Linked DNA regions of Nothobranchius furzeri. The protein of the gene in region 2 interacts with the protein of the main gene of each other region in a pairwise test. Links are inferred from orthologs where the notes say so. Each region holds a gene or a part of one and is shown on either strand. Other genes may lie near its edges.

Evidence for each region.
Region 1: the proteins of kdrl (region 2) and shc2 interact in a two-hybrid assay, tested with the Homo sapiens proteins (2 studies listed by BioGRID). The link is inferred for Nothobranchius furzeri from reciprocal best matches to the Homo sapiens genes FLT1 and SHC2.

Annotation. Positions count from the first base shown.
Region 1 is NC_091748.1:54,777,405-54,781,226, reverse strand, and holds part of shc2 (SHC-transforming protein 2), read right to left. Parts: intron 1,685-3,822; coding exon 1,517-1,684; intron 268-1,516; coding exon 1-267. UniProt on the Homo sapiens protein: Signaling adapter that couples activated growth factor receptors to signaling pathway in neurons. Involved in the signal transduction pathways of neurotrophin-activated Trk receptors in cortical neurons.
Region 2 is NC_091741.1:84,332,118-84,335,939, reverse strand, and holds part of kdrl (vascular endothelial growth factor receptor kdr-like), read right to left. Parts: intron 2,962-3,822; coding exon 2,833-2,961; intron 2,371-2,832; coding exon 2,264-2,370; intron 2,004-2,263; coding exon 1,874-2,003; intron 1,464-1,873; coding exon 1,359-1,463; intron 1-1,358. UniProt on the Homo sapiens protein: Tyrosine-protein kinase that acts as a cell-surface receptor for VEGFA, VEGFB and PGF, and plays an essential role in the development of embryonic vasculature, the regulation of angiogenesis, cell survival, cell migration, macrophage function, chemotaxis, and cancer cell invasion.

The DNA.
Region 1 (3,822 bases), on a different chromosome or scaffold from region 2:
GGTTGGTAGTGCTCTCCCGGACGAGGAAATCTCCATCCCGGACCAGAAGCTTCTCTGCATCTCGTCGGCTCATGCGGCTGTGGTACCAAGGCTCCCTGCGGAGCTGCTCCTCGTTTGGGGCAACGGGAGCTCTGCGTCTTGGTGGACTGGGCCACTGGTCCTCCAAGTTTCGAACACCTCCCACCTGAGAGCCAGGACCTCCTGGTACACTGGACCCAACAGCTCCACCACAGGCCTCGTGAAGCTTCAGCGCATCCTCAAAAGGTCCTGCAGATACAATGTTTAATAAACACATGCTGGTGATGGCACTAAGTCAAGCAGGTCATGGTAATCCATAGAGAAATTTGAACAAAGGCAACTGGACTTCTTTAGTTTCTTAAAGACGTTTTGCTTCTCATCCGAGGAGCTCTGTGAATTCTGACTGGAATATGGGAGTCAAGCAAGAAAATTGGTCTATCCAAAAGACCAAACACCCAAACAGAAGCTTAGTGCCATCGTTTAAGCAGTCCAATGTAGTGAGGAATGTCCAGATCTTTACATTGGGGAAACTAAACAACAACTACACAAGCGCATGGCACAACACAGAAGAGCCACCTCATCAGGTCAAGACTCTGCAGTCCACCTACACCTGAAGGACAAGGGACACATTCTGGACAGAGTAGTTAGATGTTTTGAGAGAGGAATAAAAGAAGCTATCTATGTCAAATGGGAAAATCCTACATTCAACAAAGGAGGAGGATTCAGGTTTCACCTTTCCAGTACTTATAATGCAGCTCTAAACCTAATTCAGTCTAGGTCACATCCTGCTGCTAATCAAAACAACCATTCTCACACAATAGAGCCTAACGACTTATTGGGAGGTGGGGAGGAGGGGTATTCAGAGGGTGTTTCTGCTTCTTAACTCATTCACTGCCACTGACGACTAAAGTCGCCATTTTAAATCCAACTGCTTGCTGCCTAAACTTGTCAATAGTGTTTTTAATGGGGCGAGCTTGGGAGCGAGCTTGCTCACCTTGATAGTAAACATCACGGCTCGAAAGTTGACTTACGTACATCTGTATGTGTCACACATCACATGATCAGGTATGAGGAAGTCGTTTTGGGATGGAAAAGCTGCAGCTCACACTTACGACAACAGATTGTGAAAGAACAGAAAAAGCTAAAAACATGCTGATTATTCCAGATGTAAGAAGTGAGTTTACTCTTTCTTTTGGTAGTTTTGGTATTTACGTGGTCATAGAGCACAATATTCTGTGACTCTTCAAAAAACAGTTACAAGCGCTCAAAAACGCTTGCAGCCAGGGGCTCTCTGATCAGGAAACAGCCAGCAGTTTAGCAACAAAAGACAGCTACAGTTTAAAAGTTTGGCTCTCCCATATTCCAGTCAGAATTGATGGAAATGAGAAGCGAAAAGTTTTCTAGAAACCAAACATGTCCAGCTGCCTTTTTTGGATTTTATTAGTTTGTTGCGGTTTTTCTATTCATTTTTACATACGCTTATTGTTAAAGCACTCACTCATGTCAAAAAGGTCTTTTTTGGGACTGTCATGTGCCTTGGCCCCTTTGTGTCCCTCTGCACCCTGTGTGAGAGATTCAAGGTTCTCCAGACTCTGGGTGTTTACGTACTGGTGCTCCTCGTAGTCTTTGCTGCCTGAAGGCTGACCATCAGCACACAGATAACCATCTGACATCAGAGAAAAAAAACAACAGCTCAAGAACATTTCTCGCCTCAAGCTGGATGAATTCTGATCTGCATTCTTGTGCAATAGTACAATAGAATGTTTTCATATTTATTTTCATATTTATTTTTTACTTTAGCCACTTCAGCAGGCAGATTATACCTTTTGAAATGTTTTACTTTAAACCCACTACAACCTAAGTAAATCATGCAATTAGAGATAATTGGTGAGATAACTGAATTGCTGAATAAGTGTAGTGCCTGAGGTTCCCCTTAAACCCTTTTAAAATTGTGACTATATAAATCTGAATTCTACAGTTTGATTTGTGCAATTTTGAAAATGTCGTGAAGGGATCTTTTGAACACACACACACACACACACACACACACACACACACACACACACACATATATATATATATATATATATATATATATATATATATATATCCTGAGCAACAAGCACACATGTACATCATTTTCAAATGTTATGAAACCCTTTTATGTAACCATTTCCCCCATTTTTGACAAATCAAAAGAGTTAATTAAAATCGGGAAGATGCATTTTGCTTCTTTTCCATTAGAAATAACAGATTACACAACATGAGAGAAAATCTGACACATTCCCAGAAATTCTAATCCTATTAATGTGATTCCGAGAACACGCCAAACAGCAAAACCTTGTTTCTGCAAGTTGTGAAGTAAATCTTTTTTTCCCACCAGAAAGTGCAGTAATTACCACAAATGTTCCACAACACAGTTAAAAAAATATCCAGGCTCCACAGCCTTCCACCCCTCAAACATGGTTTTGAAGTTTGCAGATGACACCACCATAGTGGGTCTCATAACAAACAACGATGAGACCCTCTACAAAGAGGAGGTACAGCACTTCACTCAGTGGTGTTCTTTGAACAACCTGGTGCTTAACGCCAGTAAGTCCAAGGAGGTCATAGTGGTCTTCAGGAGGTTCAACAGGACAGAACACCCACCTCTACTCATTTGAGGGGAGCTAGTAGAGCGTGTAGACAACATCTAATTCCTGGGCATCCACATCACCTCAGATCTAACTTGATCACTGAACACTTCCTTTCTGGTAAAGAAGGCCCAGCCAAGACTCTTCTTCCTTAGGAAACTGAAGGGAGCCGGTCTCTCCCCCCAACTGCTAAAGAACTTCTACAGAGCCACGATTGAGAGCATCCTATCACTCAGTATGACGGTGTGGTATGGGAGCTGTACCGTCCAGAACAAAAAAGACATGGCCAGGGTGGTGAAAACTGCTCAGCGGATCGTGGGGAGCCCACTACCAGATCTGGACTCAGTATATACCATCCGACTACAAAGGAAGGCTAACTGTATCGCTGCTGATTCCTTCCATCCAGGTCACAAACTGTTTATGCCGCCACCATCCAGGAAACGTTACAGGAATATCAAGGCCACAACCACCAGGATGAGGAACAGCTTCTTCTCTAGAGCTGTTAAAGCCCCCCCCCCCCCAGTCATTCTCCACCGTCATCCTCCCCCCCCCACCTCTGTGACCCTGCAGATACCTACACTCCCAACCAATGACCCATGAGACTGTTAGAATTTTAATGATGGGTTGGTTGTAATTTACAATGATCCTGTTTTTTCATGCTGCTATTGTCCTGTTCACTTGAATCGTCTATGTGCAATAACAAGCAGTGCAATAATATCAATCAACATGTCGATCAGTACGATCAGAATACCAGTCAGCGCAACGTTTATCTTTTATATCTTTTAAATGATTCCGCTTTTTTACTCAAGTGTGTGTATGGCTCCCTAAAGGGAAGGTTATGTATTGTTCTTTTTTTTACTCTTCATGTTTTTATCATTCTATTTGTGGTCTTAGTACCCTTTAAGCTGAGAGCTACCAACATAATTTTGTTATGTGTATGCATAATGGCAATAAAGAATTCAATTCAGTTCAATTCAATTCATATGTAACTAATTTAGGAAAACAAACAAACTTAAAAACATCAGAATCTCATAGAAAATGAACACATCGAGTCTCTAATAAAGAGCATTTTTAAAATTCTTAACCCTCTGGAGGCAGGCGTTGCAGATTTGCAACGTTAAAACCTACCTATCTGGTTACTCGACATACTGTACGTATTTCATGAGCATTT
Region 2 (3,822 bases):
TTTGTAAAACTGAAAGCAAAACTTATCTCCTCTCTGTGTGTTTGTCTTTTTAACACCTTTATCTGAACAGCTGAAATGTCTCCCCAGCCTTCCTTAGAGTCTACAAGAGTGATTTATCACTAAATTGAACAAATCAGCTGTGTTCATGATCTAAAACATGCTGGAAGCAGACTGCAGCGCCAGGTATGTCAGCTCATTTTTTCCAAGTCCCGCAGACCGGACCGGCAAATCTGAAGTTGCAAGGCGAATATTCTGGCCGCTGGGGGGCGATAAGGCTCGGCGGCCTTTCATTAACCCTGTAAAGCGTTATTTTATCATATAATGGGCCAAGAAAATGATTAGAAAATATGAAAAAGTTGCAAAGTATCCCTTTAAATGCTAAAAACTTAAAAACATTGTCATAATTTGTTTAATCCCAGCTTCTCACACAGTATAGGTTATACAAACGATTCCATAAATCTTTTTATGTTTATGCAAAACAAATGTTTTTCTATATATAATAATGTTGCCCAGTCTTCTAGGGAAAAATAGCCTATTTAGCATTTATATTAAAAAGGAGGTGACTGCTCAGTTTACTTATATTTGAGAAAAAAGGTTTAAAAAGGTCAAAGTTTACAAAGGTATCAGAAACTATTTTGAAAAACCACATTTAGAGTGATAAACTTTGACTCGACATGCTTGTTTTTGAAAGGCTTAAAGCACGATGCCATGATGCAGATCGCTCTGAAACATACTTGAGAGGAAAACCAAAAGCAGGGATAAGTCACAGAGTTTCTGCTTTCCATTAAGTTTGACCTGCGACCTGCTTTCCTCAGATAATCTATGATTTATATCCAAACACGATTAATACACACATAAATAAATCATAGGACAACAGATGCAGCTGGAAGCCTGGCCGAGGCTAACAGACCACCTCAATATCGATACTCACTGATGAGTGTTGACTGTTTCTTTATGAACGCAGAAAACAAGCAAAAATCTGTGTTCAGTGTAAGAAAGGGAAGTTGGAGTTTTAGAAGTTTTTTAATTTTTTTCAAGTTTCAGTAAAGAAAAGAAAAAAAGGTTATTATTTTTGAAGTTTATGAAGTTATTTTTGTATTTAAAATCTTAAAGACATCATAAACAGGAATATTTTTCTGGCTCATTTGGATCTTTTACACTTTTGAACTCAGTGGATTTGGGGGCGGGGCTAGAGGTCTTTGCCTTCACTTCTTCCTCCCTTTGCATCAAACACGTCTAATTGCATTCTTTGAACTACTAAGCCATGCACATATTAATTGCACATGTGGTGCTGGAGCTCATGGGTCTGCAGAAGAATAAACCCATCAGGAGTAAACGCTGAAGTTCAGGCATGCTACCTTTCAGCATTTTCACTGCAACGGTCTTGCAGGTGGAGAGTTTGTCGATTCCAAAGGCGGAAGCTTCCATCACTTTCCCAAATGCTCCGTGGCCCAGAATTTTACCTGGTGAAGAAGGAAACAGTTTGATAAATAGAACGACACCAAGTGTGTCTCTCTGGGGCAAAGACCAACAGAAACGAGTCAGTGTGACCCCCTCCCATCAGGAGGCCACTGGAGCTCTCATGTGGCAGTTTTTCAAACAAATTTATGGTTGACTTGAGTCAGGGTGACAGCAGAGGTCAGATATAAATGATGACCCAAAGCTGCAGCTGCAGGGGGGGCACATCCATCATGTATCTTAATGTCCTGTTTGAAAACTTTTAACCTTGGGTTAGTTTATTTAGCATCTCAGACCTAAACGACCTTTGAGTTGTTAGATTATCCTTCTGAAAAATGCATTTTTCTGAAGGATAATCTAATAACTCAAAGATCTTTTAGGTCTGAATAAATGGAAATGTAAGACTTGCACTCACCGAGTCGCAGGCGATCACGAGGAAACTCCCATTTGCTGCTGTCGTACTGGAGGAGGTCGTTCTGCTCCTCCAGGGGATACTCATCAGGATCAATGATGATAGACGGACCCATCTTGTAATGAGATGGTTGCTGATGTGTTCAGATACATAAAACAAGGATTACTTTCATTCTTCTTTCATCACACCTAGTTTTGTCTTGTGCTCCCCACACGAGTGAGATTAAGTACATAGAGTTCCCTTCCAGACATGCTGCACAATTTTAAAAAAAATTCTAAATTTATCTATCAGCTTAGCAGCATTTCACAACCAGCTAAACTTTACATTGGTATTAAAAAGAGGAAATGGAGAATTTCACAAATAATGTGAGGAGTAAAGCAACGTCGCCCTCACCCTCCTGAGCTTCCGGATGAACAAGATGAGCATGAGCCAGAGGAAAGTGGCCGCAGCTCCAGTGCACACCAGAATTATCACCTCAATATTTGGCTTCCCATCATCTCCTGAAAGAGAAGAGTGTTTCTGATCAATGAAAGAAATGAACTTTTATTTATGCGTTTTCTGAAACAATTTGTCTGAGAAGCTTCGTGTCCAGCGATGGACTCTGCCTGTTTCCAGCCTGTCGCGGCTGCAGCAGCAGTCAATATTTTAAGACTCATTAGAGACCCTCTTAACACTTGACAGAGGTTATGTCCTCTACAAAAGGGCCCTCCGCCAAAGCTATGATCATAAACCCCAAGAAGGAATTCACTTGGCATTCCTGGCAGCTGCCAATTTTCCATCGGGAGCTTTTTGTCTCAGACCAGAGCAATTTGTAGTGATGAAAAGAAAACACAAGGCCAAAAGGGCCTCTTTGATTTCCCTAGAAACGCAGGATTATAAAAGAAAAAAAAACATTTAACTGCTTGGACTAATTATTCAGTTTGATATATTTATTATAATTTTTATTTGACAGATTGACTCACCGAGCACCGTGACAACAGCACTCGTTTTGGCGAATCCCTCCATGTTTTGGGCCACACACTCGTACACACCCTCGTCATCTTTCTTCACTCTCTCAATGATCAGAGTCCCGTCCTCCTGCAGGCTGACACCTGACGCCCAGACATCAGAGACATGAAATCAGGTCAGAATTATTTGGATTTCTACTGTAACTGCAGGCTGGACAAAGTTGTTTTGACAGTTTGCACTTTCATTCTCTGTGAGGATAAAAAAGCTCTTCTGTTTTAGGAAGTAGTAGTTAGCCAGGGAAGAGAGGAGCAGAAAACGGCAGCATTTGGAGTATAATCCCTACTTCACACTGGAAGCATTAGCAGCACAGAACGTCACTGCTTCCAACATAATCCATTAGAGTCAAACCAGCCACAATGCAGACATTTTCAGGTGTGTCCCAGAAGCGGCGCACCGCATCGCTAAAGATAGGATCGGGTTTTGTTTTGGCAGCGAGTCGCTTCTGGGACACGTCAATTTCTGCAGTTAACATGGGCTAGACAGGAAATCACACATGGTTTTAGTGTAAAATCACTGGTAATTTTAAAAATAAAAGACTATTGCAGCAGTGCAATTTCATATCTATGTAGATTACATCAACACAAGTGACCTAACGACTTATTTACTCCTAGCATCGTTCCAGCCATTCGAACACGACTCCTTCACTGCCTCCAGTCACTCTGCATCACTGATGTTTTATCTCCGCAAATAACACAAGCCTGAAGGAGTTCTGTCTTGTTATGAAGTTTCTAATGCTAACAGTTAGCTTCTACTAGCCTAGAGGTTCTCTGCCATTCCCTGGACACTATGCCTTCCTCGTCACGAGCCAAGATGGGTGTGTCCATGAATGTTAAGTGACAGTGTGACGTAGATCTGACTGTTTTTTAAGCCGATTGTTTTTCTGTCTATTTTCTATTGGCAGCTAATGCAGGAAATAGGGGTAGAAGACTATTTTCACTGCATGT